6 linked regions of the Macaca fascicularis genome follow. The protein of the gene in region 1 binds, or shares a complex with, the protein of each later gene. Links are inferred from orthologs where the notes say so. Each region holds a gene or a part of one and is shown in the gene's direction. Other genes may lie near its edges. The genes, in order: POLR2L, TAF1B, RRN3, GTF2E2, POLR1B and ERCC3.

Region 1 (5,226 bases):
GAGGGCAGCTTACTCTCCCCGCCCCGTGCTCCGAGTAAACAACTCCTGCAGGCAGGAACAGGCGCAGGACAGGCCCTGGACCCTCCTCCAGGAAGCCTCCGGGCCCCCACCCACTCCCCAGGGCCCACCCTGCTAACATCCCGGACCCCCCTTCCTCCCTCACCTCCACAGCCACCAGCAGCCTCTGCAGCTGAGCCTGGCTCTGACCCCAGGCCACCGTTACTCACGGCCCCTGTCCTGCCCCTCTGCCAGAGCAGGATGTGCGTCCACTCATCCTGGGGGGAGGGGGTCAGGGAAGGGAAGTGGCCTCCGCTCGTGGCTCTGCACGTGGCTGGGTGGGGTATGACAAATGCCACTGGGGAAGCTGCCCAGGGCCCTGGCCAGGTTGGGAGCAGAAATCCCAAGTGTGCAGTGGATCTGGCCAGCACCACTCTGGATCCAGAAAACCCTTCATCCTCCTCCCCTGCAACTAAGGCAGACCCAGCATTGCCCTGAGAAAGCGGCAGCTGATGCCTGGAACCCAGCACAGGTCCCACCCCAGCTGGAAGCCCCAGCCCAGAGCCCCCCCATGGGTGCCACTTTGCAGCCCACCCACCCCCCCACAGCCTACCTGGCACCTCCAAGGAGTCTTCTTTGCCTCCTACTGCACACCGACCCCCCATTTCCTCACCCCCACCCTAGGGGCACAGCAAGGAGGGTGCTGGTGCCAGCCCCCCCGCACTCCATCCGAGAGACACGGGCTCCCCCTCCCTCGTCCTCCGTAGGCCCTGAGCTCCAGGGCAAGGCAGAGCTGCGGCCTTCAGCGGGTCCTGCCAGTGCAGCCTCCGGGAGTCTGCCCAGGGGTCCCCTGTGCCGCGGTCTTCAAGGTTCAATTCAAAGAGCACCTCTTCCACGACGCCCTCCCCGACCTCCCTCCCGGGCCCCCTCTCCCCGTGCTCAGAGGCGCGTCTCAGCGTCGGGACGGCCAGCAGCCCAGCAGAGCCGGGACCGGGGAGGGCGCACCCCGACCCCCTTCCTGGGAAGGAGCGGAAAGAACGCGGACAGGAGGCCGGGGCGGGGAGCAGCCGGCGGGGGCCGTAACTGCGCGGCCGAGGCCAGGACGGCGCTCCTAGGGGCTGGGCCGCGTCCAGAATGGGACCCCCGAACTCGGCGCCGAGAGCCCCGGACACCCCGCGAGTAGAGGCGGAGGCGGAGGGACCCACTACCCGGCGGGGCCAAGAGGGGCAGCAGGAAGACCCGCCCCGGTCCGCGCCCGCCCTCTCCCCAAGCCCCCGCGCCGGACCCCACTTGTTGCTGCGTGTCGGCTCTAGGCTCGAACTCGCGCGCCCCGCTCGCGTCCGGCTCCAGCCGCTCCCGGTCGGACACCTCGGGCCGCGAGACCCTGGCCGCACGCCCCCACGACCCCCCGGGCGCTCTACCTGCGCCGCCGCCTCCCGCTCGCTTCGTCCGCTCCCTCCGCGCAGCTGTCAGTCAAGCGGACACGAGAAACGCGAACCGCCACCGCGGCTTTCGGCCCTGCTCAGACGCCGTAGCTCCGGGACGCACCAAGATGGTGGGCGGGGGTGTGTCGTCTGTTGCTGCCGCGGCCGTGCAGGCCCAGGAGCCCCGGGCCGCATGGGGAATCCCCATGGCGGCGGAAATTGCGGCCAGCTGCGCCGGGGCCAGTGTATGAACGGCTGGGGCAGCGGAGAACGAGCGGAGCCGGTCCCCCCGCGATAGTGGACGCGCCCGGGGCGGGGCCTGGGGGGAGTGCTTCCCGTGCGGCCGGACCGGGCCGGGCAGTCTGGGACGCGCCGCCGCCATGATCATTCCTGTACGGTGTTTCACTTGCGGCAAGATCGTCGGCAACAAGTGGGAGGCCTACCTGGGGCTGCTGCAGGCCGAGTACACTGAGGGGTGAGGCGCGGGCTGGGGCCGGGGCTGGGGGCTGAGTCCGCCCTGGGGTGCGGGCCGGGGCGGGAGGCGCAGCGCTGCCTGGGGCCGGCGCTCCATGAGCAGCTTCATACCCGGCCACTCCGGCCCAGCTCTGTGATCTGCTTTCGGGAGAACATTGTCCCCTGAAGTCTGGGGAGAGAGCGGAGTTGGGCTTCAAACCAGTGGTGTCCTGGGGATTCTAGGTGGCCTGGCGGGTGGCAGGCGTCTTGTCACCCGCAGTAAAGCCCTTGGTCTCCGTCCTAATCTCTCGTCTCTGCTCCCAGACCCACCCCATGTCCTGCAAACCTCGCTGCAGGACAGGCGGGCGCGGCGGCTCACGCCTGTAATCCCAGAAGTTTGGGAGGCCGAGGCGAGAGGCTTGCTTGAGCCCAGGAGGTCGAGACCAGCCTGGACAACCTGGGGAGACCCTGATCTCCAGAAATTTTTTCTTTTTTTTTTTTGGGGGGGACGGAGTCTCGCTCTGTCGCCCAGGCTGGAGTGCAGCGGCGCGATCTCGGCTCAGTGCAACCTCTGCTTCCTGGGCTCCAGGAATTCTCCCCAGTCGCCGGGACTACAGGCGTGTCCACGCCCGGCTAATTTTTGTATTTTTAGTAGAGATAGGAGTTCGCCATGTTGGCCAGGCTGGTCTCGAACTCCTGACCTCAGGTGATCCACCTGCCTCGGCCTCCTGGAGTGCTGAGATGACAGGTGTGAGCCACCGCCCCTGGCCCTCTTATCTTTTTAATTCCCCGGACTTGGTGGTGCACACCTGTGGTCCCAGCTACTTGGAAGGCTGAGGCGAGAGAATCGCTTGAGGCTGGGAGGCAGGTGAAGATTTCAGTGAGCCGAGATCACGCCACTGCACTCCAGCCTGGATGAGAGAGTGAAACTCCGTGTCACGCACACACACACACACACACAGAAAAAGAAATGCAGGGCAGACTTGCTGACCACCCTCATCATCGGGCTTTGTGGGGGAGGCATCCTTCTCCTGTGCTTGTCCCTCAGTGCTGCTGTCACCACCGTGCCTGAGTCTTGGTGCCCCTGCTGGAGTCTGACCCTTGCCTGCTGAGTCCTGGTCACATGTGAAACCCCAGGCTCGTGTGTGCCAGCCTGCCATAGGCTCTCAGTGCAGCTTGCTGGACGAATGAGTAAAGCGAGTGGGCTGCCAGAGTGAGTGGCTGGTGGCCTGTCCAGACCCTTTCCCAGGGATATGAACTGCAGGGGCCTCCCATGTGGCCTCCCCTTTCCCAAGCTTCTCTCTCTGCACATTGGAGCCATCAGTGTGGGAGTTTTCTGGAAGTATTGATGGTGACTGGACCTTGGTCCCAGGGAAATTAAAGCTTCTAATTGGCTTGGGAAATGGGAGAGGTGGCTCCCTGGAGAAGCAGTCTCTCCCTGATTGAAGGAAGCAGAGGTGAGAAAAGACGCCACAGTGGCAGAGTAGGGCTTGCTCTGGGGTGGGGGATGAACCAGCTAAGGGCAGGCCCCTGGAGAGCTACCCTGCTGTGGCTGGTGCGGGATGAGGGGAGCTGCGCATCAGGACCTCGGTGGCCTTGGTTTTCTATGCTCCCCCAATTACCTCTAGTTTTCGTTTCATTTATATTTCTTACATATGTTAGACACACATATGTACAGCCAGAGTAGGTGGGAGAGAAGGCTCCTCACGCTCCACCCAGGGATCTGGGCATTGCCAGGTTACTCCAGCCAGGATCATACCGCTAGGTCTCTACTTCTCATCCAGGTGAATGTGTTCGCCTTGCCGGTAGCAGGGGAGTGAGGCCAGCAGGCAGTGAGAGGCGGCCTGGATGTGGGCTCCAGGCCTGTGCAGACCGTGGAGAACTCAGCTGGCCTCTCTGTTCCTCCCCTCGCTTGACACAGGGATGCGCTGGACGCCCTGGGCCTGAAGCGCTACTGCTGCCGCCGGATGCTGCTGGCCCACGTGGACCTGATCGAGAAGCTGCTCAATTATGCACCCCTGGAGAAGTGACCAGGCTGGAATCCGCCTACCTGCCATGCTGACCATGGGCCATGAGCATCCTGCCCCAAGTTCACAAGGCTGAGGCATCCAGGAGCTGGCGCAATGCCTCGCCACAGCGTGTGTGTGTCCCATCCCCCACTCTGGAAGGAACAATCCAGTAAAGGTCTTTCAGAACTACCAAGGTCCCAGCCCTCACTAGGATGTCAGGGGCCAGGACTAGGCCCAGCTTTCACCGCGGCAGCCCAGGGAAGCCGACTGGGCCATGAATTCTCCTAGCCCTGGGGCCAGCCTGTTCCACAGGTACCCCTGCAGGAGGTGCTGCCAGGAGAGCCTTCCATCTCAGGGCTGAGGTTCCCTCCTTCTGGGTGCTCTTCAGACTGAGCAGAGGCTCCTGTACTCTCTCTCTTGGAATCTGAAGAGCCAGATTTAGGCCAGGCACGGTGGCTCACCCCTATAATCCCAGCACTTTGGGAGGCCAAGGCGGGTGGATCACGAGGTCAGGAGATTGAGGCCATGCTGGCTAACACGGTGAAACCCCGTCTCTACTAAACATACAAAACAAAAAAAACAGCCAGGCGAGGTGCCGGGCGCCTGTAGTCCCAGCTACTCGGGAGGCTGAGGCAGGAGAACTGCTTGAACCCGGGAGGGGGAGCTTGCAGTGAGCCGAGATTGCGCCACTCACTCCAGCCTGGGTGACAGTGAGACTCCATCTCAAAAAAAAAGAAAAAAAAGAACCAGATCGTCTGGGGCCCAGTCTTTGCTATGGTCACGGATGCCAGCACCTGCTGGCCCCTGCCCACTGCTGCCTGTCCCTGAGGGTCCCACCCGAGTCTAGCAGGGAGGGCAGGCCTTAAGACACCCCTAGCTGGCTTGGGAGGCGGCCCTAAGGAGGCCCTGCTGTCCAGGCAGTGCTGCCAGCAAGCACCCCAGGTCAGATGGCCCTGCTGCTGAGATACCTGGCGTGGTGCCCTCTGGTGGGGGAGAATGGGTCTGCCTGAGGGTCTTCAGTTCTGAGCCTTAGGGACAGGAGCCTGGGCAGTGGGGGGTACAATCAGTGACTGAACCCTGGCTCCCGTCTCCAGGGTACCTCTGCCAGACACCAGGCTCTGGTATCTCCCATCCGTGCCCCCAGCAGGGCCTATAGGCTCTACCATGTAAACCCCCTCACCCTACTGCCCCCACCCATCTGCCTGACGCCTCTTACCTGGGCACAGCCCCCAGTGTGCACCCTTCCCATGTCTGCTCCCCCCCATGACCAGAAGGGTCTTTGGAAACCATTTTTCCTCTCCCCCAGGGGCTCTGAACACACCACCATCTCACCATTTAGAAAC
Region 2 (4,544 bases), on another chromosome or scaffold:
GAAATTCAAAATAAAAAGTCAACATCTGTTTTATATATAGTCATGATTTTACTGACTTGATCAAGTATTTTTAAAAATTATTGAAAAAAATCAGTTCTTAAATTGGTTAAAATGATTATTTGCTAAATGATATTACTAAAATATTGTTAAAAATGTGTGCTTTTATATACATATTACTTCCTAGTATTAAAAATAAATGGTGAGAAATTATTACAGATACTACAGATGTTTAAAATATTTGTATTTCTGGCTTCCTATTTTTAATCTTTTTTTCTGGAAAGTTCACAGATATTTCTTGAGTATCTGCTAGCCAGGCACTTTGTCAAGTACTAAATAATAATTCTAATTATTGTATAGGATTTAAAGAACCCATATATACATTATCTTATTCCTCAGAATAACCCTGTGAAAGTAGAGGATGAGTTTAGAGATGCTAAATTCATTTCTTTGTTCATTTATTCATCCAGTTATTCTTCAACAAATGTTTAAATGAGTTCCTACTATCTGCCATTCCCTGACAACGCTAGGGGCATAAGGATGGCTGAGACAGTCTCTGCCTTTGAGAGCCTCCATAATTTGTCGTTCAGATTATGCTAGCTCTACCACTAGAAAGTGGTGGGCCAGGTCTTCTGATTCAGTACTCTTTCTTGTTGCCACAGTGTCTTTCAAAATAAGAAAATGGCCTGGGATCAAGAAGAAGGTGGATTTTTTTTTTATTATTATTATAAGTTATGAAAGTCCTCTGCACTAGGGAACACAGAAATAATGAAAATGAGACTAAGAATGAACATTGTTATCTTTGTTGCAGAGCTGCAGTGTCTCCTTGGCAAAGTTTAGCAACAACCACTAGAACCAGAAATAGAACATGTCACTTCCTTTTGGAGTCTAGAACTGATCACCCTAATCTGTAGGAACCTTAGGTGGCTCTTAGTGTTTGTCCTGGAGGGAACCCCAAGAGCCAGAGCAATCCAGGATCCCCATTTTACAGTGGAAACTCCCTGGCTGCCCTTCCCTTGGCAAGAATAGGCTGAGTCAGGACAGGGACTGTTGGGACTGTGTCATCCTGGAATCCAGTCTCTTCCTCTCCTTTACGCCAGGAGTAGAATAGATTTCCTGGCATCAGGTGCCAGAGAGATGCATTTACTGTTCACTCCGTGTAAGTTATTCAAAAGTACTACTAACAACTCTCAGCAAAAAGGCATTGGGGCAAAGGCAATGAGGAACAGTTGTTTCGAGGTGGCTTCACTTTATGAGAACGAGCAGCAAGGGAAATTTATGGTGGAGGAAACTGTTTCTGTGTTTTGTGTGTAATTAATAGCTTCTTCAAGATGTCACGGCATCTGGGCAGCTTTTGAGAGGAGCATACCATTCTCTTGGCCTGGGCTCTCGGTCAGTGCTTCCTTCTAGGGCCTAAGTTCAGTAGACAATATAGACATGTGCCAATAAGCCATTCTAAGCCAGAACTGTAACGAAATATCGGAAATCTCAGATAGTGCTTCAGACAATGTGTTTATGTCCGTTTCATCTCCATCCTGCTCCAGCTGTTTCTTTACCATGTACAGGTACCTGTGGAAAAGTGAAAAGCCACTCTACTACTCGTTTGTCGACAAACCAGTAGCATATAAAAAAAGAGGTGAGTCCAGTTTTGTCTTAATACCAAGTAGCAACACAATTGTAGAAAAATTAAATATCTGGACTTGAAATGTTGAATGCTTAAGTTTTTTACTTTTTTTAAACAAATGTTCCGGGGCACGTATACATCCAAAGGAGCATCATGCTCTGCAAGCAATCTCTGCAGGAATCTACTTCAGGAACATGCCGTTCTTCAAAACAGAGCCTCAGTTCCTGCCAAAATCTAAAATCCTAAATCGTTCTGATTTTGGGAATTCTTTGCTTATAGAATTCTTTTTGGATTGTACATTCTTTTTGAAGTAGTTTTCCACATGCACCTCATCCAGTTTCATTTTCTCTTAAAGTTATCCTGTTACATTACGGTGGTACATTTGCCAAAACTAAGGAACCAATATTGGTACATTCTTATCAAGTAAATTCCAGGCTTTATTTGTGATTTAATATAACTTGTTATTTTGTTTCCTTTTTTTCTCCATTTCCAGAAATGGTGGTGAATCTACAGAAACAATTTAGCACACTGGTTGATTCAACAGCAACTGCTGGAAAAAAAAGCCCTTCAAGTTTTCAGTTCAACTGGACTGAAGAAGACACTGATAGAACATGTTTCCATGGACACAGCCTTCAGGGAGTCCTGAAAGAGAAAGGCCAATCACTGCTAACTAAGAATTCATTATATTGGCTTAGTACACAGAAATTCTGCAGATGGTAATCAATGCTTTTAGAAAAAGTCACATATAATTGAAGCAGTTGCCTATATAAGAGCCAGATAGGTTTTCTGTTGGAATTAGAAGCTGGTGAGCTTAAAGTCACGAAAATCAGAATTATACATTGAGTCTTGTGTAAGAGTTCTAGGAAAGCTGGTAAAAAGAAAGAGGATACAAGGCAATTAGCACAACTGTTGCCTCTAAATTAACCTGCAGTGCAGCAGGCAGGCAATAGAAGTGGCTGTAACTGCTGATCAGGAGAATGCGCTGTATTTTTTAGTACATATCACTTCTCTGAGTCAGTTACCTTTTTCATGTCTTTCTACCTCTTAATACTTCCTTAAGTATTTCCTAAAAATAAGGATATTCTCTTAAGTGACCACCGTACAGTTATCAAACTCAGGAAACTTAATATTGATACGATACTTTTATCTCACCCACAGTCCATATTCCAGTTTTCTCATTAGATCCCCAGTGTCCTTTTATAGCAGGATCAAGTTCAGGAGTAGGTATAGCATTGATTGATTTTATCTCTTCAGTCTCCTTTAATCAGATTGTCCCTCAGCCTTTCTTTGTCTTTCATGACATTGACCTGTATTTTTCAGAAATGTCAGTGGTGTTATACAATATTTCTGAGTATGGTTGTGATGGTTCCTCATATTTAGATTCAGGTTTTGCATCCATGGCAGCTTATGTCGTGATCCGTACCTTTGTGCTTTTTCACAGGGCATGAGGGTGGATTGTGGATGATCTCAGATTTAATACTGCAGTATAACGCAGTGAGTGATACATAGAGCTTAGTATAGTCAGTGATGAAAATGCTGAGATTTTTTTCTCTGAATGAAGTATAAAACTAAATTCTGATTGTATGAAGTTTCAGTGATACCATGACTTTAGACACCAAACTTATCTGTCAACCTTCCCTGTTCTAGACCAGAGCCTAGAACTGCAGAGCAAGCAAAAAAGGCTTCAGCTGGGCAGTAAAAATGCCACAGAGACCGTAACTAAAACTCAGCCTCTTTCCTTAGAGAGCCCCTTAGCCCCTCGCTCAGAGCCCCTGACTCTGCCCTTAGGCTGAGTTGTCTGATTTCCAAACTCCTCATCGTCAAAGAAACAAAACCAGAGGTCCGAGAAGCACTCTGCTGATAGACATCTTGACGGTAAACATAAATGACACCCTTTGACAACGATAGGGGAGCCAGCCTCAGAATCCAAAGCAGACAGAGCTCCAGTCGCAGAGCCTGAAGTTCATGGCTCCGTGCCACTAAATAAGGGGACCACATCCCTGCTTCAGCACAGCGCATGTCCCAAGATGCTGTGTGCCTTCGTGGTGGGTTTTAATAGCATGTTTTCTACTGTTTCTACAATAAAAACAGGCAACTGTAAAGGCTAAAATATGCTAAATATGCTCTAAGACAACCATCAAAAATGGTTACAATGAAAAGCGATGCTTTTGAGAGCAGATATTTAGCTATGTAGAGAATTTCATTAGGCAGAAGGACTCATTTCTGAGGGTTCAGAAGAAACAAAACATTTGCTGTAAAATTGTGAAAACACTCAGAGCTTGGGAACTAAGCAGAGAAAGGCCACAAGAGTACTTCAGGTATGGGAGGCTGTTGATTCTTCCTAGCTGAGGCAGAGTTAACAATTTCAATGAATTGAAATGCCCTTTCTATTCCCAGTTGTTATAATAGTTGGCTGGGTCAGAAGACCTGACTTCTTGTAGGTGGCCATGACCTCCCTGGGAGTTCCATAGATGAGGCAGAGCAGTGGTCTTTAGTTGTATTCCACAGGAAATGGAGGTGCTTTGGCTGCCCCACAAAAATTTGATTTGAATTTGTAAAATATTATTTTTAACTATTTTTTTAAACTACAGTGAAAAAACAGTACTCAGGCCGGGCAGGGTGGCTCATATCTGTAATCCTGGTGCTTTGGGAGGCCGAGGCAGGCGGATCACGAAGTCAGGAGATTGAGACCATCCTGGCCAACATGGTGAAACCCCGTCTCTACTAAAATACAAAAAATTAGTCGGGCGTGGTGGTGCATGCCTGTAGTCCCAGCTACTCAGAAGGCTGAGGCAGGGTAATCACTTGAACTCGGGAGTTGGAGGTTGCCATGGGCCAAGACTGTACCACTGCACTCCAGCCTGGTGACAGAGCGAGACTTAGTCTCAAAAAAAAAAGTACTCAAATATGTCATATGCTTAGC
Region 3 (4,544 bases), on another chromosome or scaffold:
ATTTTTGGAACATCTCTGGAAAAAATTGCAGGATCCAAGTAATCCTGCCATCATCAGGCAGGCTGCTGGAAATTATATTGGAAGCTTTTTGGCAAGAGCTAAATTTATTCCTCTTATGTAAGTAGCCTAATTTTCCAAGTACTTTTTAATATCATGCTTTAAAAAGAGTATAGCATTGTCTCAAGTCAGAAGTATCTCCCGTTTTTTTGGGTATGTTTTTAAAGTGAATAAAATTCCTACTCTGTGCAAGATGTTTATATTTCTAAGCAGTGATTTTAGAATAAAGTGTCTCCTTTTTTTATATATAAAACCCCGTATGTAAGGCTTTTGTCATCTCTTCTGTGTGGTTGCACTTAAAGATCCGTTTGTTTTTGTGGATAGAGAACAGTGTTGTATACTGTTTTGATTCTTTTTGTAGGTTTATCATTTTTTCATTTGCGTTCTGAATCTATTGTATCTGTTAAAGCTGAAGAAAAACCCTTTTAAAGGTAATAGACCTATCTAGAAGGCCAGTTTCTTCCAGTGGCCCATGAAGATATCTTTGGACAAGGATGCTGTTGAAACCCTTCCCCAACCACAAAATTATTGACCATAGGACTTGACTAGGATGCATCAGGGAATACTGAAGTCCACCAGACTGTCTTTCTTTTGGGAGATGTTGGTGAACGTGTCCTGTTTGGCCAGTCACCCTAAGAGGGTGCCTTTGAGATGGTTAGGAGAACCTGCTTTCCATCCCTTGGGACGTCCTTAGGGGCTCACCTGTTCCTAGAAGGTCAGAGCTGCTCTGCCTTGTAATTGGAAGCTTGTCTTCCTACGCACCCATCCATATCCTTCCTTTCTTTGCTTTTCCTCTGTGCCCATGGGTATTATTTAAAGAAACATATGAACTTAGCGTGGTTTGTAATGAAAGGCAGTTGTGTGTTTTTATGTTTTCTGGTTTTTTTATGAAATATGAAGTTGACTTGAATTTTTCTTTTCTCTAGTACTGTAAAATCGTGCCTAGATCTTTTGGTTAACTGGCTGCACATATACCTTAATAACCAGGATTCAGGAACAAAGGCATTCTGCGATGTTGCTCTCCATGGTCCATTTTACTCAGCCTGCCAAGCTGTGTTCTACACCTTTGTTTTCAGACACAAGCAGCTTTTGAGCGGAAACCTGAAAGAAGGTCGGTGTTGTGGGAGTGCGGGACTGGATTTTCCTTGGGTTCTTGTCACCCTTTAGAATGGTGATTCTTTACTTTTTTGAGATTTTTATTAAAAACTCTGGATTCAGAAAACTGCATGTACACTCAAACTTTTAATAATCATTTCAAGCAGCTCATAGGCCCCTGCAAACCCCTTAAGATGGATTTGAGGTTAAGAAAGAGGTTTCTGCTTTTGAAGGTTTAAAATGTGAAGATGTCTGCAGAGGTGAGGCTGAGCCCTGGGCTGTGCCAGCGCCCTGTACAAAGCTTCAGGTGGATGCACCTTCTCTTTGTTGTCCTTGTAACAGCCCAGTAAATGGCAGGTGTTCTCCCTTTACAGACAGCACCAAAGCACAGGGGAGTCATTTTCCCAAGATCACATGGTTATTGGCAGGATTAGAAAACTGAAGGCAGGTTCAGCTGAGCCTAAAGTTTGGGTTTATATAGATTAAACTCTGCCTGAAGCCTTGAGACTTAATTCACCAGTATTGCTTTGCTAATTTCTAATAGTTACTTATAATTCAAATCTGTCAGTTGGAACTTACTAGATTAGTGTATTTTAGTTGAAGAGAGTCTCCAAGAACAGTGTTTATAAGTCATTGTAAATTGTTCTGTTTATGTTTATGAATAATTCACATGGTTTTGTGGGCCACTTCCTCTCAAGCGAGGTCCCTCAACCTCACACGATTGACATTTGGGTGCATCATCCTTCATCGTCGGGGGTTGTCCTCTGCACTGTAGGATGTTTAACAGCCTCTGCCTACTAGCTGCCAACAGCAGTCCCCGACCACCCCCAGCTGTGACAACTAAAACTATCTCCCAAAATTGCCATGTGTCCTCTGCGGCGGACATAGTCTCCTTGGGTTAACAGCCAGAGCTCTAAACTGAAAGTTGTATGTGTTGCATTATATATATTTACCTACATTCTACATGCTTCTGAAAAGATGTTGTATGAACTAGTCGGATGAGGTTTTATCACAAGGTTAGTAAATATAAGCTCTGCTTTTCTTCGTATAAATTAATGCCAGGAATCTGAATTGAAGATCTTGTTTTTGTAAGCTGTGACATCCCATTTAGGTAATTTTTATCAAAATATGCATCAAAGAAACTCCTGAGAAAATACACTTAAGTACAAGTTGGTCAGCTTGCCTGTTAAAATAAATGTGATGTCTTTCTTTTACTCACGTAGGAGAGAATTATATTCATTAAGAAAGTGGTTTCTGTCTAAATTTGCCTTCTGTTGAGGTAGAAGGCACATTTGGAGTTCTCTTGTTTGGAAAAAAAAAAAAACAAAAAAAACTACAAATGACTACTGTGTACCTGAAAACAGCGCTCAGCTTCACTAATGAGACGTGCAAGCTAGAATCAAATTGTTGTTTTGTTTTGTTGCCTGTCATGATCGTTAGCTGAAACCAAATCACAAGGTGTTTTTCCCCTCTGTATTAACTCAGCATATACTGAGCTTACAAACGTGTGAACTTCCAGTTGTCATGGAATCTTACAGCCTGCTACTTCCTGAGTTTTCTTTAGAGAAGCTGCCTTGGTGATCAATGAATGTGGTTAGCCTAGTGATACTCTTCTGGGCCATACACTGTGTGATTATCTGCATGGACCTTTATTTAAAGCATTTCTGCAAATAATTAAGTTTTTTTTTTTAATGTGTGATAATTTGTGCTATTAAAGATATCTTACACTTTTCACTTACATTTGTACCTCTAAAAAAATTTTTTTTTTTAACCAAAGGTTTGCGGTATCTTCAGAGTCTGAATTTTGAGCGGATAGTGATGAGCCAGCTAAATCCCCTGAAGGTTTGCCTGCCCTCAGTGGTTAACTTTTTTGCTGCAATCACAAAGTAAGTTATTTACTTTCTTGATGGGAGTTATTTAAAATATTTTTATTTATGTTTATCTAGTATTGTAAGAGTCTGTTAAATTTCTGTGAAATTAGTAACATTATAAAAGGCCAGGCGTGGTGGCTGACACCTATAATCTCAACATTTTGGGAGGCTGAGGTGGGAGGATTGCTTGAGGCCAGAAGTTAAAGACCAGCCTGAGCAACATCGTGAGACCCTGTCTCTACAAAACATTTTAAAAAATTAGCTGGGTGTGGTGGCCTGTGCCTGTAGTCCCCACTACTCAGGAAACTGAGGTAGGAGGATCACTTGATCCCAGGAGGTCAAGGATGCCGTGAGCCATGATTATACCACTGCACTCCAGTCTGGGCTCCAGAATGAGGCCCTGTCTCTTAAACAAAAACAACCCAGTCCTTGCAGGAAATATTGTAATACAGCTATTGTTTTTGTACTTTAATGGCATTGGAAATTGCTGCTACTTCTTATCCAAAGGGCATAATTCAGCAGAAGCCTAGGCACTTTGAAATAAGTAAGGCAGCCAGTAAGCTGAGAGGGGCAAAGCCATAGATGCTTATTAGAGTGACTCCTGTAATAGTAACAGAAATAAACTGGACGTGAGGCAAATGTTGACCAGTAAGAGATTGGTTTAGAGAGTACTGTTCTCTCAGGTCTGGTAGCTATGGTTAATTCATAGCCTTTCCTCTGTGCCAGGCAGTTCTCAGCACTTTACGTAGAACTCATTTGATCCTCAACCCTGTAGGATGAAACCCTGTTTATCAATGGGGAGGTGGAGGTACAGAGAGGTGACATCACTTAACCTGAAGTCATAGAGCTAGACTGGCGGCACAGATTTTAATGTAGTCTGGCTCCTTCGTAAGCTTTCACTAAGTTATTCTGCTTTATGGAGAAAGCAAATTGGAGAATTGAATATTTAATGAGGATATTCAGGCCGGATCATAGCCTATAATCTTCAACAGGTAAGAGCCAGCAGCTTGCTGAGCTCCTTCAGCCTCTTTAGTTCTCCTTTGCTAGGCGTCTGGTTCAAGGTGGGCTCTCTTCTGAGATCTCAGTGATAGTGGAGGGTTAGGAAAAGGCATCGAGAGACCAGCAAGCAGCAGCAGTGGGTGGCTGGAGGCTTCAGCACGTTGGTTAAGATGGTGGGCAGCTCAAAGAGTGAGGACGGATGAAGCAAGCAGAGGCCGCTGCCCTAGTATATTCTCGGGGTGGGGACAGAGGACTGCATTTGTGAACCAGCTGGTGCAGGGGCTGTCGATTTGGGGTTGGCATGCGCATTAGAGGTACAGAGTGTGCTGCCATGTGAGGCTGAGAGCAGGGGAATGAAATAAAGGTCTCTGCCTAGGTACAGATATTGTAAATAAAGGTGTGTGCTGTTCTGCGGCTGTTGCTTTTGCTTGCTTGATGGTTTTGAGATTGAACCATATTGCCACAAAGCTTTATTTTGATTTTAACTGCTGTGTTATGTTCTGGGAATCTTTTTTATTGAGT
Region 4 (5,197 bases), on another chromosome or scaffold:
TTTTGAGCTGATTGCTGTAGAGGTTGTGGTTTGGCTTATGTGAGTTAGAGTGTTATTATCATATGCAGTTTAGCCATTGTCCATATGTTTAAGTCTCTCACTCATTAATACGGGAGCCAGCAGAATCGTAAAATGGATTTCTACCAGTTCTGAAAAATGAAATTTATACAATTGTTGGGGAAAGGAGTGCTGAAATACAACTGCTCAGTTGATACAAAACTGGTTAATTTTTCTTAGAAGAATGCAACCTTAACCTTTGGAATTATATACATATTTATACATATTTATATACAAATATATATTTATATATTATTTTGTATATTATACATAATATATATGATATATAATATATGATATATATTTATATATCATACATTATATATAAATATATATCATATATTATATATTATATATAAATAGATAATGTATATTATACATGATATATAATATATATTATATATAAATATATTATAATATATATTATATATTTTATATATTATATATAAATAATATATTTATATTTATATATTTTTATATATATAAATTCAGCTTGGCACTGAATTCCCTGCCCCTTTCTCCCCTTACACCTCATCAGTTTCCTACCAATTAATCTTTGATTTCATCCTTTTGTAAATCTTCTGGGCCCTAATCAATTGTTATTCAAAGTTACATTTCCTGTGGGTGTCAGATGATCAAGTAGGCTTATTACAAAATTCTCTAGAATGAAACTAATCAAAAAGGTCACAAAATATTATCTTTTGACTTTTTTCCAAGTTTTGAATAAAATTTTAGGTATTTCTCATTTTCACCACAGTCCAATGCAAGTAACTCATTGTAGTAGTACAATGATTATCCCGATTTTCCAGGTGAGAAAACTGAGCCACAGTTTTAGTAACTTGAAGAGTAACCAGTAGTTAAGTAATTCAACGACAGCCACAGAATGGCTGAGCACTGGCTGTACTGGCGCTTTAGGTTATAAGAGTGAGGGAAGGCCTGCCACGCTGCAGGGTTCGAGCAACGACAATTATTTTTTCCATTGCTTTATTTCCACCCATTTATCTGGCTTCTAAATCCAAAATCCTTTTCTAAGACAGTTCACAGGGGTGGAGGGAAGAGGCTGGGCTGAGCTCCACATCATGCTGCCTTTGCTAGCTGTGCTGTCTTGAGCAAGTCATTTATTAATTAGCTTCCTGGCCCTCTGTTCTTCGCTTGTAAAATAGCTGGAACCGCGTTCTCGGAGAGCAGGTGCTGGTGGGTGGCACTGGGGTAAACTCACAAAATAACCGTTGAGGCCGGAGGCGGTGGCTCACGCCTGTAATCCCAGCACTTCGGGAAGACGAGGCGGGCAGATCGCTTGAACTCAGGAGTTCAAGACCAGTCTGGGCAACACTGTGAGACCCTATTAATACAAACAATAACAACAAAAATCAGCCCGTCGTGGTGGCAGTCGCCTGTGATCCCAGCTACTCCGGAGGCTGAGGTGGGAAAGTGGCTTGAGCCCAGGAGGCGGAGGTTGCAGTGAGCCGAGATCGCGCCACTGCAGTCCAGCCTGGGCGACCAAGTGAGATCCCATCTCTAATAAGAAAAAGACAAAAAACACAAAGTAACCATTGAAAGATAGCGTCGCTGGTTGGGTTCACCACATCCCAGCGCAGGCGGGAGCAGGCTGTAGCAGCTTTAATTAAATGTGCGTAAAGAAAGCTGTCTTCCATCTTCCTTGGCACCGCCTCCCACTTCAGTCCACTCCTCGGCCCCGCCCCGGCCCTTCCCTCGTTGTCATGGAGGCTCCAGGACGCCACAGCGGGATAGTTCTGCTCCCGCGGCACCAGAGGCGGGGCACCCTATGACGCATGCGCTCGCTTCGCTGCCCTGGCGCCGCGGTGGCTGCCGGGACTGAGCTCCTAGCACCAGATCGGGAAGTGGCGGGCGGAGTCCCGGGTCGAGTCGTCGCCTCAGCCACCGCCGCCGCCGCCGCCAGTGGCGAGACCCCGACCTGGCGGGTCAGCGCTGGGCGTGCGTGCGGGCAGGCGGGGGCGCTGACGAGGAGCAGGAAGAGGCTGCAGTGCCGGCGTGGGCGGCTGGCCGAGGCGGAGGCGCAGGAACTGGGCGGCGAGTCGTGAGAGGCTGCCCGCCTCACTCAGGTAGGGGCTGCGGCCGCCGGGTGAGGGGCGCAGAGCCCCGTCCTGCTGTTCCCCAGGATCCAGGCGCGCCGCCGCCTCCCGGGAGGCTGAGCGTGACCTCCACCCCACGGGAAGCTGGGGCCGCCGTTCTGGAAGCGAAACACCGAGCACGCGAACCGTTCCCCGGAGCATTGTCTTTAGGCCGGAGGTTCATTGAGCAAACTTTTGGGTTGGAAAGAGGGAAAATTCGCTGTTTGCTACCTGATTGTGCCTCTTCCAAGCCTCCAAGTTCACGGGCGCGGTAGCCAAGCGAACCACGTTGTGGAGTCTGAGGAGCCACGGGGTCCAGCCAGCTCAAGGCTGTGATTTAAAATGATGCTTGTACGCGGACTGCTTTCTGGGCTACCTTTTGGAGACTTGGTTTGTGATGATCCCTAAACATTAACGATAGTAGTTGATTTCTGAAGTCTAAAGACGTTTTCCACAACAATGCTGCGGCCCGCTTTCCGCCCACCTCCTCACTTCCGTCATTTAAGGGCGAAGCAGCCCGCTTTTCATGGCCGGATCCTGAGGTGCCAGGGACACTAACGAGGCTGGGAAAAAGTAAAACAGAGGGGAGGTAGGAAGGTTGAAAGAGGTCGAATGATGGCAAGAATCGTGGGCTTGGAGGCAGATTTCAGTTTAATTTTTGGGTTTTCCATATCTGCCCGCGGAGGAACCAGCCAACTCCTTGAGTTGTGATAGTTTTGTTTAATTGTAAAATGAACATGGTGATGTAACCTGTTTACTACATAGGTGGGTCCAGAGATCTAAAGCGTACTACACATATTGAGTAGTCTTTGAAAAAGGAGGAAAAGTTAGGCGGAGCACGTGAAGACATTGCGAAGCCTTCTGCTCTAGATGCCTTTGAACGTTCCCGAACCTCATAGGTGGCCTTTGTTTTAAAGGCCTTTACCAGCATTCCAGATCTGTTGTAAGGAGCACTTGAGTTAGGAGTCAGGAGGTTTGGGTTCTGGCCCTGGCTCTTCCATCTGTGCGACCTTAACCAGACAGCTTCACTTCAGATTTCATGTATTAAAATAGGAATGACACTAATACCTGTTTGCTCCTGGAGTTGCGAGGGTCAAATACTGTAAGCATTTAGTTTGTTGTAAACTGTACGGCTTTATTTACATCTTTTTTTTTTTTTTTTTTTTTTTTTTTGTGCCGACAGAGTCTCGCGCTGTCTTCCGGGCTGGAGTGCAGTGGCTCGATCTTGGCTCACTGCAACCTCCACCTCCCTGGTTCAAGCGATTCTCCTGCCTCAGCCTCCCAAGTAGCTGGGATTACAGGCGCCCGCCACCACGCCCCGCAATTTTTAAAAATTTTTTAGCGGAAACGGAGTTTCACCATGTTGGCCAGACTGGTCTAGAACTCCTGACCTCGTGATCCGCCCGTCTCGGCCTCCCAAAGGGCTGGCATTACAGGCGTGAACCACTGCGGCCGGCCTATTTAAATATTTTAGAGTCGTTTTTTAAAAGTCCAGATTAAGGTCCTGCCTTTGCAACGTGAAATAATAAGACACAAATGTTTCCTGTTCTAGAAATTCACAATCAGCTTGTTGCCCCCACCTTCTCACTTAACAATTCTCCTTTCTTGTTCTCGGCCCCACGCTTTCCCTCCTCCCAAGGCTGTCTCCTACCTTCCTCAGCGCAGTAAATCGTTCTTTTCTTTCAGATCCAACTCGAAATAGTAATACTGAAATGACATATGTTTTTATGACTTTACTATTTAAAAAATAACACACGTTTTCTCATTCTTACAATTGGGCTGGATGTGGATAGCTTTCGCAGCGTCCTCATTTTACTTATGAAATTGAATGTAGAGGCCTTGTGGGTTGCCTAGCCAGGTGGCTCTTAGGAATTGAAACTGAGGCCGGGTGTGGTGGCTCACGCCTGTTATCTCAGCACTTTGGGATGCTGAGGTGGGCGGATCACTTGAGGTCAGGGCTTCAAGACCAGCTTGGCCAACATGGTGAATGAACCCCGTCTCTACTAAAAGTACAAAAATTAGCGGCGCGTGGTGCTTCGCACCTGTAGCCCCAGCTACTCGGGAGGCTGAGGCAGGAGAATCGCTTGAGCTCAGGAAGCGGAGGTTGCATTGAGCCGATTTTGCCCTACTGCACTCCAGTCTGCGCGGCAGAGCAAGACTCTGTCTCAAAAAAAAAAAAAATTGATACTGAGAGAAGGCAGGTTTTTGATTCACCGTACAGTGATTGTTCACGCCTTAATTGGAATTCACTCTGATTATTTCTTACTAATGCTTATATTTTAAATTTTTAGCTGAATGCTCCATTTCCTCAAATCTAAGCAGCACGCAGACAAGGATTTATCCTCCATAACCTTTCAAAGCTTAGAGCACAGTGCCTCACAAACAGAAGACATTTAATAAAGGCTTGTGAAACCAGTAATAATGGGACCAGAGCAATTTAAAGATGTTGTTCCATGTGTTGTTCATTTAACATTTATTGAGCTATCTGTGCTTAGAAGCTTTCAAAGTATGAGTCTTTTTCCTCCCAGCTGACACTAGTCTTAACAGTGTCAAATTCATTTATATAGTCAGCTTGAGGTCTTCATAGACCCTCTGCAAGGTTCTAGCAGAGTTCAGAAGAGAGGAGTGTTTAGAATTCTTCTTGGTTGACCTGTAGCTTCCCTGGTTGTACTGAAGTTGCTTACAGTTGTAATTTTAGAACTGGACAAACAACCACAACATAGAAGTTGCCTCAAACCACCTCCATCCAAATTGGAAATTTTCTGTAGACTTTTATTTTTTTATTTTTTTATTTTTGAGACAGAGTCTTGCTGTGTCACCTAGGCTGGAGTGCAGTGGTGGGATCTCAGCTTACTGCAACCTCCGCTGGACTCAAATGATTCTCGTGCCTCAGCCTTCTGCGTAGCCAGGAGTACACGTGTGTGTCACCATGACTGGCTAATTTTTGTATTTTTTGTAGAGATAGGGTTTCACTATGTTGCCCAGGCTGGTCTCAAACTCTTGACCTCAAGTGATCAACCCACCTCAGCCTCCCAAATTGCTGGGAT
Region 5 (4,511 bases), on another chromosome or scaffold:
TTCTCCGTGTAGGTAAGCAAACTATGGGCTTTCCACTTCTCACTTACCAAGACCGATCAGATAACAAACTGTATCGTCTTCAGACTCCTCAGAGTCCCTTGGTGAGACCCTCCATGTATGATTATTATGACATGGATAACTATCCAATTGGGACCAATGCCATCGTTGCCGTGATTTCTTACACTGGCTATGATATGGAAGATGCCATGGTAAGTTTTACCGGGAAATGTTGTTCCGATCTTTTTATCTTTTAACTCTTTTGTTTACTGTGAAATCACTGAAGGAATATTTTTGTGTACCCAAGTACCTAGTATTTGGCACATGATGTTCTATGAAATGATTAGTTCTTGGTCTAAGTTGAAAGTGGGCAAGCCTTGAGGAGTATCCACTAAATATTCAGATACACATATATCTTGCATATTTGAGTGCATATTATGAGTAAATTTTGAAGAGTTTGGTTTTGGATATATCTACCTTTTATATTTAAGTATGATTAGATTTTAAGCTATTTCTGTGTGCCTGGGTTTTTGTTTTTCTTGGTGTTTTTTGTTTTTTGTGTTTTTTTTGAGCCAGAGTCTTGCTCTATTGTCCAGGCTGGAGTGCAGTGGCACGATCTTGGCTCACTACAACCCCTGCCTTCTGGGTTCAAGCAATTCTCCTGCCTCAGCCTTTCGAGTAGCTGGGACTATAGGCACCCGCCACCACGCCTGGCTGATTTTTTATTTTTAGTAGAGATGGAGTTTCACCATGTTGGCTAGGCTGGTCTCTTAACTCCTGACCTCAAGTGATCAGCCTGCCTTGGCCTCCCAAAGTGCTGGAATTACAGGCATGAGCCACTGTGCCCAGCCATGTCTGGATTTTTGTAGTTAGTATCAGTGATTTGGAAAATGTGAGGAGAGTTAAAATGTGATGCCAGTTATCCTAAACCAAGTATTATAGTCCCACCTAGTTTTATTTTGAAAATCCTCACTTGGCCTCAGTCTTTTAAATTAACGATTCTTTTACTTCACAGATTGTGAATAAGGCCTCTTGGGAACGAGGCTTTGCCCATGGAAGTGTCTACAAGTCTGAGTTCATAGACCTCTCTGAAAAAATTAAACAAGGAGATAGTAGCCTGGTGTTTGGAATCAAACCTGGTGACCCACGGATTTTGCAGAAGTTAGATGACGATGGATTGCCGTTTATAGGAGCAAAACTGCAGTATGGAGATCCATATTACAGCTACCTAAACCTCAACACTGGGGAAAGTTTTGTGATGTACTATAAGTAAGTTTGGGTATCCAAGCTGGTTTTTGTTTGTTTTTTGAGATAGGGTCTCAGTGTGTTAGCCAGGCTGGAGTGCAGTGGAGTGATCTCACTCCCTACAACCTCCACCTCCCGGCTCAAGCAATCCTCTCACCTCAGCCTTCAAGTAGCTGGGACTACAGGCACGTACCACCATGCCCAGCTAATTTTTTGTATTTTTAGTAGAGATGGTTTCACCATGTTGCCCAGGAGGGTCTCGAACTCCTGGGCTCAAGTGATCCACCTGCTTCAGCCTCCCAAAGTGCTAGGATTACAGGTGTGAGCCACTGTGCCTGGTCTATTTGTGCTTTTTTTAAAAACTGTATTATACAAACTTTGTCGTCTTTATCATATACAATGTTAGCAATGTTTCCTAGCCAAAATGTTGAGCTCATACCTCTTATTAGAAATGTCTTATTTTAGCTTATTTTACAATATAATTTATTTCAGTAGACCTTCATAATAATTTTTCAGTTGCCTTTGTTGCTAGTTTTCTTTCAGATGAACATAATTCTGTAGTGAATATCACCAATAGCTCTATTCATACCATCTCTGTTTGTATTGGAGAATAAAGGTAAGAATGAGTTTTGCAGGCCAGGCACAGTAGTTCACACCTGCAACCCGACAATTTGGGAGACCAAAATGGGAGGCTCCCTTAAGCCCAGAAGTTTAAGATCAATCTGGGCAATGTAGTGGGACCCTGTCTCTACAAAAAATTTAAAAATTAGCCAAGCCTAGTGGCATGTACCTGTAGTCCCAGCTACTGAGGCGGCTAAGGTGGGAGGATTCCTTGAACCTGGAAAGTCAAGGCTGCAGTGAGCTGTAATCACACCACCCCTCTCCAGCCTGGGCAACAGAGTGAGACCCTGTCTCATCAAAAAAAAAAAAAAAATGTGTTTTACAAATATCTTTTATGAAGCACTAATTATGTCAATGAAACTTACCTCTATAAGTTTAAACAAATAGGTTGACCTTACAGAGTTTACTTTTTCCTAGGAGTAAAGAAAATTGTGTTGTGGATAACATCAAAGTGTGCAGTAATGACACTGGGAGTGGAAAATTCAAGTGTGTTTGCATCACTATGAGAGTGCCTCGGAACCCAACTATCGGAGATAAATTTGCCAGTCGTCATGGGCAGAAGGGCATTTTGAGCAGATTGTGGCCGGCTGAGGACATGCCTTTTACTGAGAGTGGGATGGTCCCAGACATTCTGTTCAATCCCCATGGTTTTCCATCCCGCATGACCATCGGGATGTTAATTGAGAGTATGGCTGGGAAGTCTGCAGCTTTGCATGGTCTCTGCCATGATGCTACACCCTTCATCTTCTCAGAGGAGAACTCGGCCTTAGAATACTTTGGTGAGATGTTAAAGGCTGCTGGCTACAATTTCTATGGCACCGAGAGGTTATATAGTGGCATCAGTGGGCTAGAACTGGAAGCAGACATCTTCATAGGAGTGGTTTATTATCAGCGCTTACGCCACATGGTCTCAGACAAATTTCAAGTAAGGACAACTGGGGCCCGAGACAGAGTCACCAACCAGCCTATTGGGGGAAGAAATGTCCAGGGTGGAATCCGTTTTGGGGAGATGGAACGGGATGCGCTTTTAGCTCACGGTACATCTTTTCTCCTTCATGACCGCCTCTTCAACTGCTCAGATCGGTCAGTAGCCCACGTGTGTGTGAAGTGTGGCAGTTTACTCTCTCCACTGTTGGAGAAGCCACCCCCTTCTTGGTCTGCCATGCGCAACAGAAAATACAACTGTACTCTGTGTAATCGCAGTGACACTATCGATACTGTTTCTGTGCCTTATGTTTTTCGGTATTTTGTAGCTGAATTGGCAGCTATGAACATCAAAGTGAAACTGGATGTTGTTTAACTTGATGTTGACCTTTTGGATTAGGAGGCCTATCAGATTAAAACAAAACGTAATTTTAGTTCAATGAAGATATTATTACCAGGTTACTCTTGAGATTTTTCAAGGGTGTTAGAACTCTCAACCAAGATCTGAAAACCAAGAATGCAAAGTGTGAATCTCGCTGGTAGATTAACTGTTGACAATGATTTTCTGTATATTTGTTCAAAAATCTCATGTCTTCTCAAAATATGAAATATTGATAAATGGAAGAACATACAGGTTCCCTACACCCTGCTTTCAGCAGGCAGTGACTGTCACACACCTGTTAATCCATCTTGAGCAGGACAGTACTATACAAATAGAATGCAAGCTGTAACGTAATTTTATATTTTCTTATAGCAACATTGAAGTAAAAACAAACAGAGTGTTTTTTGCCAGCTTTATAGAAGTACAGTTGTTACATATGTAATGAATACAGTTTGATGGGTTAGACTATATGTACACACCTTTGATACCATCACCACAATCAGGGTAATAAACATATCTGTCATCTCCACAAGTTTCCTCCTGCCCCTTTGTTTTTTGCTTTTTGGTTGCTGTTGAGTTTTTTGTTTTGTTTTCTGTGGTAAGAACACGTAACTCAAGACCTACCCTCTTAACAAATCTTTAAGTGTACAATACACTATTGTTAATTATAGGCACCATGTTGTACAACAGATCTTTAGACCTTGCTTGTCTTGCATAACTGAAGCTTTATACCTGTTGAACAACTCTCCATTTCCCTAGCCCCTAGCAAGCACCCTTCTACCCTGTTTCTACAAGTTTGACTATTATAGATATCTCATATAGTGGTATCATGCAATATTTGTCCTCCGACTGGCTTATTTCACTTAGGATAGTGAAATAAGATTCATCCATTTTGGAAGCCAGGCATGGTGCTATGCATCTGTAGTCCCTGCTATTTGAGAGGCTAAGGTGGGAGGATCATTTAAGTGCAGGAGTTCAAGGCCAGCCTGGGTAATGTAGGAAGACCTTGTCTTAAAGACCTTGACCTCAAGTGATCCACCCACCTTTGCCTCCCAAAGTGCTGGGATTACAGGTGTGAGCCACTGCGCCTGGCCTCCAGTGAGTATTTTATATTTAGTCTACACTTCCATACTTGGCTTTTTTCTGCATTTATATTGACCTGCTTTCAAGCAGTGTGTAGAGTGCCGCTTATGTTTTCTTTCCTGTGCACAGTATTTTATTGTACGGATATACCATCCCCTGTGTATTTGAGTTGTTCCATTCTTTGGCCATTATAACTTTTTTCGGCAAATACTCTGCCTATTTATCTTTGGCCATTATAAACTGTTGATAATAGATCATC
Region 6 (4,544 bases), on another chromosome or scaffold:
TCTCACCATTGCACTCCAGCCTGGGCAACAGAGCGAGACTCCACCTCAAAACAACAACAAAAAAGAAAGTGTGCCCAAGGAGAGGACCTTGTACCAACATTGTGGCTATGCTCAGTCTTGGCTGCGAATTGCCTGCAGGGATGTAGGTGTTGGCACACTGCACTGGTGGATCAGGGACAACAGCGGGAACAGGCAGCCACTTAAAGTCTGGCAAATTTTTTTTTTCTTTTTTTTTGAGACGGAGTCTTGCTCTGTCGCCCAGGCTGGATAGCAGTGGCACAATCTTGGCTCACTGCAACCTCTGCCTCCCGGGCTCAGGCGATTCTCCTGCCTCAGCCTCCCAAGTAGCTGGGATTACAGGCGCCCGCCACTACACCCAGCTAATTTTTATATTTTTGGTAGAGACAGGGTTTCACCATGTTGGCCAGGCTGGTCTCGAACTCCTGACCTCAGGTGATCCACCTGCCTCGGCCTCCCAAAGTGCTGGGATTACAGGCGTGAGCCACTACGCCTGGACTCAGTGGCAAATTTTTATTGTTGCCACACAGCCTCTACTGTATTCCTTCCTAAAGGTGGTTGGGAACCTGGGAGGATTTAAGCTGTATTCTCTGCCATCAAGATGCTTACATTCTATTTGGGGAAATAGGAGCATTGGTGAAGAGGCTTTGCGTTTTGTTTAAGCAGCAATTACTGTGCACATACTCTGTGCAAAGAGTTGTTGTAATACTGGTGTGGTCTTCAGGCTAGGGTGGGGGCTGTGGGAATAGAGAGGAAAGGCAGAATGCAAGGAGATTTTAAGCAGCGTTTTATAACTGAATGGATGTGCATCAGAATTAGCCAGGCAAGAGGAAGATTTTGTTCTCAGAAAGCAGAGGCCAATGGGAAAAGCTCAGTTTAGGCAGATCTGAACCCGTTAGGATTGTCCTAAAGTAAAATGAATTTTTCACTTGGTTGGTTGGGGTAAGATGTGACCAGTAGTGAATGTGTTCTGAGTTAGCTGCACATTTACCTATTGGGTGTTATCTCTATTTGCAGTTGTGTACTGTCAGCTATGGAAAAGTCAAGCTGGTCTTGAAGCACAACAGGTAAGAGATTCCGTGACAGGCCTGTCCCGAGTCATGGTCACTCTCTGCGCACCAGCAGGAATAAAGGGATATGGGAAGGACCTGATGTTTATGCTGTCTGCTCTGTGCCAATACCACACTCCTCTGAAGCACAGATAAGAGAAGAGGAACAAGAGGTGTGGCCCAGACTGGAAACTCGTCCACTGGCCACTGTATTTCCTCTAGCAATGGAGCTGGGCTCAGGCCCCCGCTTACTTGACCTCAAAGTGGGGCTTTGCCCACAACCCTCATATGTTAAATCATGGCCAGCAGCTCATAGTACAGATTGGGCGAAGGGTTGCGGGGAGAGTCTTGAGGCTTGTATTTCCAGACCGTCTGATTGAATGAGCAGTGGAATGAGGAGGTACCTGCTGGTCAGCAGACTGCTTCTTCCTCTCCTGCTTGCAGATACTTCGTTGAAAGCTCCCACCCTGATGTAATCCAGCATCTTCTCCAGGACCCGGTGATCCGAGAATGCCGCTTAAGGAACTCTGAAGGGGAGGCCACTGAGCTCATCACAGAGACTTTCACAAGCAAATCTGCCGTACGTGGACTCCTGGGCTACCCTTGGGTGGGGGCAGGCATTTAGGGTTTCAGTTCTCAGGTGACTTTTACCCAGCATTTACAACCTGGCAGCCCTGCTGGTTTCTACCCTTTACAACTTCACCCTTTGTTTGATACCAGCAGAATTAAATGATGTGTGCACATTCAGCACCTACCTCTCTCACAGATTTCTAAGACTGCTGAAGGCAGTGGTGGGCCCTCCACTTCCCGAGTGACAGATCCACAGGGTAAATCTGACATCCCCATGGACCTGTTTGACTTCTATGAGCAAATGGACAAGGATGAGGAAGAAGAAGAAGAGACACAGACGGTATCTTTTGAAGTCAAGCAGGTTAGTGTGAACGGACCTTCCTCCTGGTTCCCTCACTGAGTTGCTGTTAGAAGTTAGTCCAGCCCTGTGTCAACTCTGCCTGTAGTCTGTGTGAAAGAAAGGAATCCCTGTTGGTCCCTGCATTGCTTTCTACTTTTCATTATCTGTGGGCCATGGCATCACTCCTCTTGATGGATTTAAAGTCCCAGTGTCCTCTTTTTCAGGCTGGTAGGCTGGTCTTCACAAGTTGCTGAGGAGATGTGAGAAACAGTGCCTGAAAGTGTTACTAGTTTGGGTTGCTTTTCTGTGCTTTATCCCAGTTGTTAACTGAGCAAGATCTAAAACTGTAGAAGTTTAGACAGAATGCCACTTGTTTGACCATTAGACCTGTTACAAGATGTGATGTTTTTGAGCACACTTTGGAGTTAAGATTTTAAAACCTTTTTTGTGCCTACTTTCCAGGAAATGATTGAGGAACTCCAGAAACGTTGCATCCACCTGGAGTACCCTCTCTTGGCAGAATACGACTTCCGGAATGATTCTGTCAACCCTGATATCAACATTGACCTAAAGCCCACAGCTGTCCTCAGACCCTATCAGGAGAAGAGCTTGAGAAAGATGTTTGGAAACGGGCGTGCACGTTCGGGGGTCATTGTTCTTCCCTGCGGTAGGTGGTTCTGGAGTTAAGAAGGTGGCCAGGCTGCTGTGTCTGGATCTGCCAGCTGCCTCTTGCTTTCTCTCTGCGCATGTCACTAAATCACACTTTGCTAAAAAGCCAAGATCAGGTGACTCCCTGATTCATGACTTGACAAGTATTCTAGTGCTTGCTGTGCATGGGCCTTGGCCTGGACACTGGGAGTATTATGGTGGCTAGAACAACACTTCTGACCTCATGGAGCTCATTCTTCTGGGGAAGATACAGATGGTAAGCAGATGTGTACAATCTTGGGTGGTGCTAGAGGCAGTGAAGAAAAATGAGAGCAGATAAGGGGTGAGATTGTAATAATGGCAAGGGGCTGTTGCACATAGTGGCGTTAGGTTCTTGTTCTTGAATCAGCCTTAGGGGTTGTGTATTTGGAGACTCCCTAGCACAGAAACGTTGGTGTTCCTGGATGACTAGGATGGTGTGCAAGTCCAGGGAAAGGCAGGAGTGGCCCCCTGGGCACCTGTTTGACCACTTATCCTCAGTAATGTCAGATCCTAGCCTAGCTTCTTGGCCAGAGGCCACAGCAGACTCACCTTGGGACCCCACTGAGGACTTACAGAGGCAAGGTCTTCAGGGAAGGGGAGGTTCTTTTTTTCCAAAACTCCAAGGGTTTTTTGATGGTGTTTTTCTTTTTTATTTCACTTTGCAATTTTTTTTATTTGCATTTACTCCTGGTAACTCAACAGAATGTATTTTTATAATAAAGGAAGGATCTCTGTTTAATGGAAAAGCTTGATTTTTCTCTTGATCTTTAAATGGTGGATGGTGGTAAACTCAGAAGCTCCTGGAATTTCATCTTCTCTGTACACACGCAGCGCATCCCTGAAGTCTCAGCCCCGTTCGCTGTGTAATAATAATAGTGCTCTTTTGCCAAGTCCCTCCTTCTGTGGGCCAGGCATGCTGGGCCCCAGCAGTGTCACTGTCCCGTGACTGTGGGCAAGGCAAAGTACTCCTCTGCTTTAGTTTTTCAGTCTGTCTTTTTTCTTTTTGAGATAGAGTCTTGCTCTGTCACCCAGGCTGGAGTGCAGTGGCGCCATCTCGGCTCACTGCAACCTCTGCCTACTGGGTTCAAGCTATTTTCCTGCTTCAGCCTCCCAAGTAACCGGGATTATAGGCGCCCGCCACCACGCCTGGCTAATTTTTTGTATCTTTAGTAAAGATAGGGTTTCACCATGTTGGCCAGGCTGGTCTTGAATTCCTGACCTCAAGTGACCCACCCACCTCAGCCTCCCAAAGTGCTGGGATTACAGGTGTGAGCCACCGTGCCAAGGTGGCTCAGCCAGGTTTTTCTATCTTTAAAATGACAATAACAGGCATTTCTCTTTTCACCAGTTTGTTTTGAGATTTTAACATTTAAATGAGATGCATGTAAAGTGCTACAGTAGGCCCCAGCACCTGCTAATTCTCACATGTGTGTGTGAAGTGAGCATGTCTCATTATAAAGAAGAAAACAGGCTGGAGCAGGGTGTGTCACACAGATGTCAGCTGTGTGGACTATTGCAAGGCATTTTCCTAGATTGCCGTACTTGTGAGTCATTCTGCCTGTCCCTGTCCTTCATTTCAACCTGTCCTTGGGTGCACTCTTGTTTCTTGTAGGTGCTGGGAAGTCCCTGGTTGGTGTGACTGCTGCATGCACTGTCAGAAAACGCTGTCTGGTGCTGGGCAACTCGGCCGTTTCGGTGGAGCAGTGGAAAGCCCAGTTCAAGATGTGGTCCACCATTGACGACAGCCAGATCTGCCGGTTCACCTCTGATGCCAAGGACAAGCCCATCGGCTGCTCCGTTGCCATTAGCACCTACTCCATGCTGGGCCACACCACCAAACGGTCCTGGGAGGCCGAGCGAGTCATGGAGTGGCTCAA

What was found.
Region 2: POLR2L (region 1) and TAF1B share a complex: the UniProt entries of both Homo sapiens proteins name them as parts of the pol I pre-initiation complex. The link is inferred for Macaca fascicularis from reciprocal best matches to the Homo sapiens genes POLR2L and TAF1B.
Region 3: POLR2L (region 1) and RRN3 share a complex: the UniProt entries of both Homo sapiens proteins name them as parts of the pol I pre-initiation complex. The link is inferred for Macaca fascicularis from reciprocal best matches to the Homo sapiens genes POLR2L and RRN3.
Region 4: POLR2L (region 1) and GTF2E2 share a complex: the UniProt entries of both Homo sapiens proteins name them as parts of the TBP-based Pol II pre-initiation complex. The link is inferred for Macaca fascicularis from reciprocal best matches to the Homo sapiens genes POLR2L and GTF2E2.
Region 5: the proteins of POLR2L (region 1) and POLR1B are in contact, whole or in part, in a cryo-EM structure (PDB 7OBA), measured with the Homo sapiens proteins. The link is inferred for Macaca fascicularis from reciprocal best matches to the Homo sapiens genes POLR2L and POLR1B. Residues at the interface, in NP_066951.1 of Homo sapiens: Met1, Ile2, Pro4, Arg6, Cys7, Phe8, Thr9, Cys10, Gly11, Trp18, Tyr21, Leu22, Leu25, Gln26, Glu31, Gly32, Arg42, Tyr43, Cys44, Arg46, Arg47, Met48, Leu50, Ala51, His52, Val53, Asp54, Leu55, Glu57, Lys58; in NP_061887.2 of Homo sapiens: Leu16, Leu19, Thr20, Asp21, Pro22, Tyr24, Gly25, Pro27, Ile157, His160, Glu161, Glu162, Ala163, Phe698, Leu701, Thr702, Arg713, Gln715, Thr716, Pro717, Gln718, Ser719, Leu721, Asp733, Asn734, Pro736, Asn740, Ala741, Ile742, Asn760.
Region 6: POLR2L (region 1) and ERCC3 share a complex: the UniProt entries of both Homo sapiens proteins name them as parts of the TBP-based Pol II pre-initiation complex. The link is inferred for Macaca fascicularis from reciprocal best matches to the Homo sapiens genes POLR2L and ERCC3.

Annotation. Positions count from the first base shown.
Region 1 is NC_088388.1:741,845-747,070, reverse strand, and holds POLR2L (DNA-directed RNA polymerases I, II, and III subunit RPABC5), read left to right. Parts: upstream 1-1,780; 5' UTR 1,781-1,801; coding exon 1,802-1,896; intron 1,897-3,795; coding exon 3,796-3,904; 3' UTR 3,905-4,072; downstream 4,073-5,226. Other genes in the region: TSPAN4 (tetraspanin-4), read right to left, coding at 1-139. UniProt on the Homo sapiens protein: DNA-dependent RNA polymerase catalyzes the transcription of DNA into RNA using the four ribonucleoside triphosphates as substrates.
Region 2 is NC_088387.1:112,161,795-112,166,338, reverse strand, and holds part of TAF1B (TATA box-binding protein-associated factor RNA polymerase I subunit B), read left to right. Parts: exon of another isoform or gene 1-34; intron 35-1,562; coding exon 1,563-1,633; intron 1,634-2,114; coding exon 2,115-2,337; intron 2,338-4,544. UniProt on the Homo sapiens protein: Component of RNA polymerase I core factor complex that acts as a GTF2B/TFIIB-like factor and plays a key role in multiple steps during transcription initiation such as pre-initiation complex (PIC) assembly and postpolymerase recruitment events in polymerase I (Pol I) transcription.
Region 3 is NC_088394.1:15,520,730-15,525,273, forward strand, and holds part of RRN3 (RNA polymerase I-specific transcription initiation factor RRN3), read left to right. Parts: coding exon 1-117; intron 118-983; coding exon 984-1,168; intron 1,169-2,929; coding exon 2,930-3,038; intron 3,039-4,544. UniProt on the Homo sapiens protein: Required for efficient transcription initiation by RNA polymerase I (Pol I). Required for the formation of the competent pre-initiation complex (PIC).
Region 4 is NC_088382.1:33,860,579-33,865,775, reverse strand, and holds the start of GTF2E2 (transcription initiation factor IIE subunit beta), read left to right. Parts: upstream 1-1,895; 5' UTR 1,896-2,501; exon of another isoform or gene 2,502-2,739; intron 2,740-5,197. UniProt on the Homo sapiens protein: Recruits TFIIH to the initiation complex and stimulates the RNA polymerase II C-terminal domain kinase and DNA-dependent ATPase activities of TFIIH. Both TFIIH and TFIIE are required for promoter clearance by RNA polymerase.
Region 5 is NC_088387.1:19,569,663-19,574,173, forward strand, and holds the end of POLR1B (DNA-directed RNA polymerase I subunit RPA2), read left to right. Parts: intron 1-12; coding exon 13-209; intron 210-1,012; coding exon 1,013-1,266; intron 1,267-2,280; coding exon 2,281-3,163; 3' UTR 3,164-3,698; downstream 3,699-4,511. UniProt on the Homo sapiens protein: Catalytic core component of RNA polymerase I (Pol I), a DNA-dependent RNA polymerase which synthesizes ribosomal RNA precursors using the four ribonucleoside triphosphates as substrates.
Region 6 is NC_088386.1:4,251,638-4,256,181, forward strand, and holds part of ERCC3 (general transcription and DNA repair factor IIH helicase/translocase subunit XPB), read left to right. Parts: intron 1-1,035; coding exon 1,036-1,085; intron 1,086-1,511; coding exon 1,512-1,647; intron 1,648-1,833; coding exon 1,834-1,998; intron 1,999-2,439; coding exon 2,440-2,644; intron 2,645-4,279; coding exon 4,280-4,544. UniProt on the Homo sapiens protein: ATP-dependent 3'-5' DNA helicase/translocase. Binds dsDNA rather than ssDNA, unzipping it in a translocase rather than classical helicase activity. Component of the general transcription and DNA repair factor IIH (TFIIH) core complex.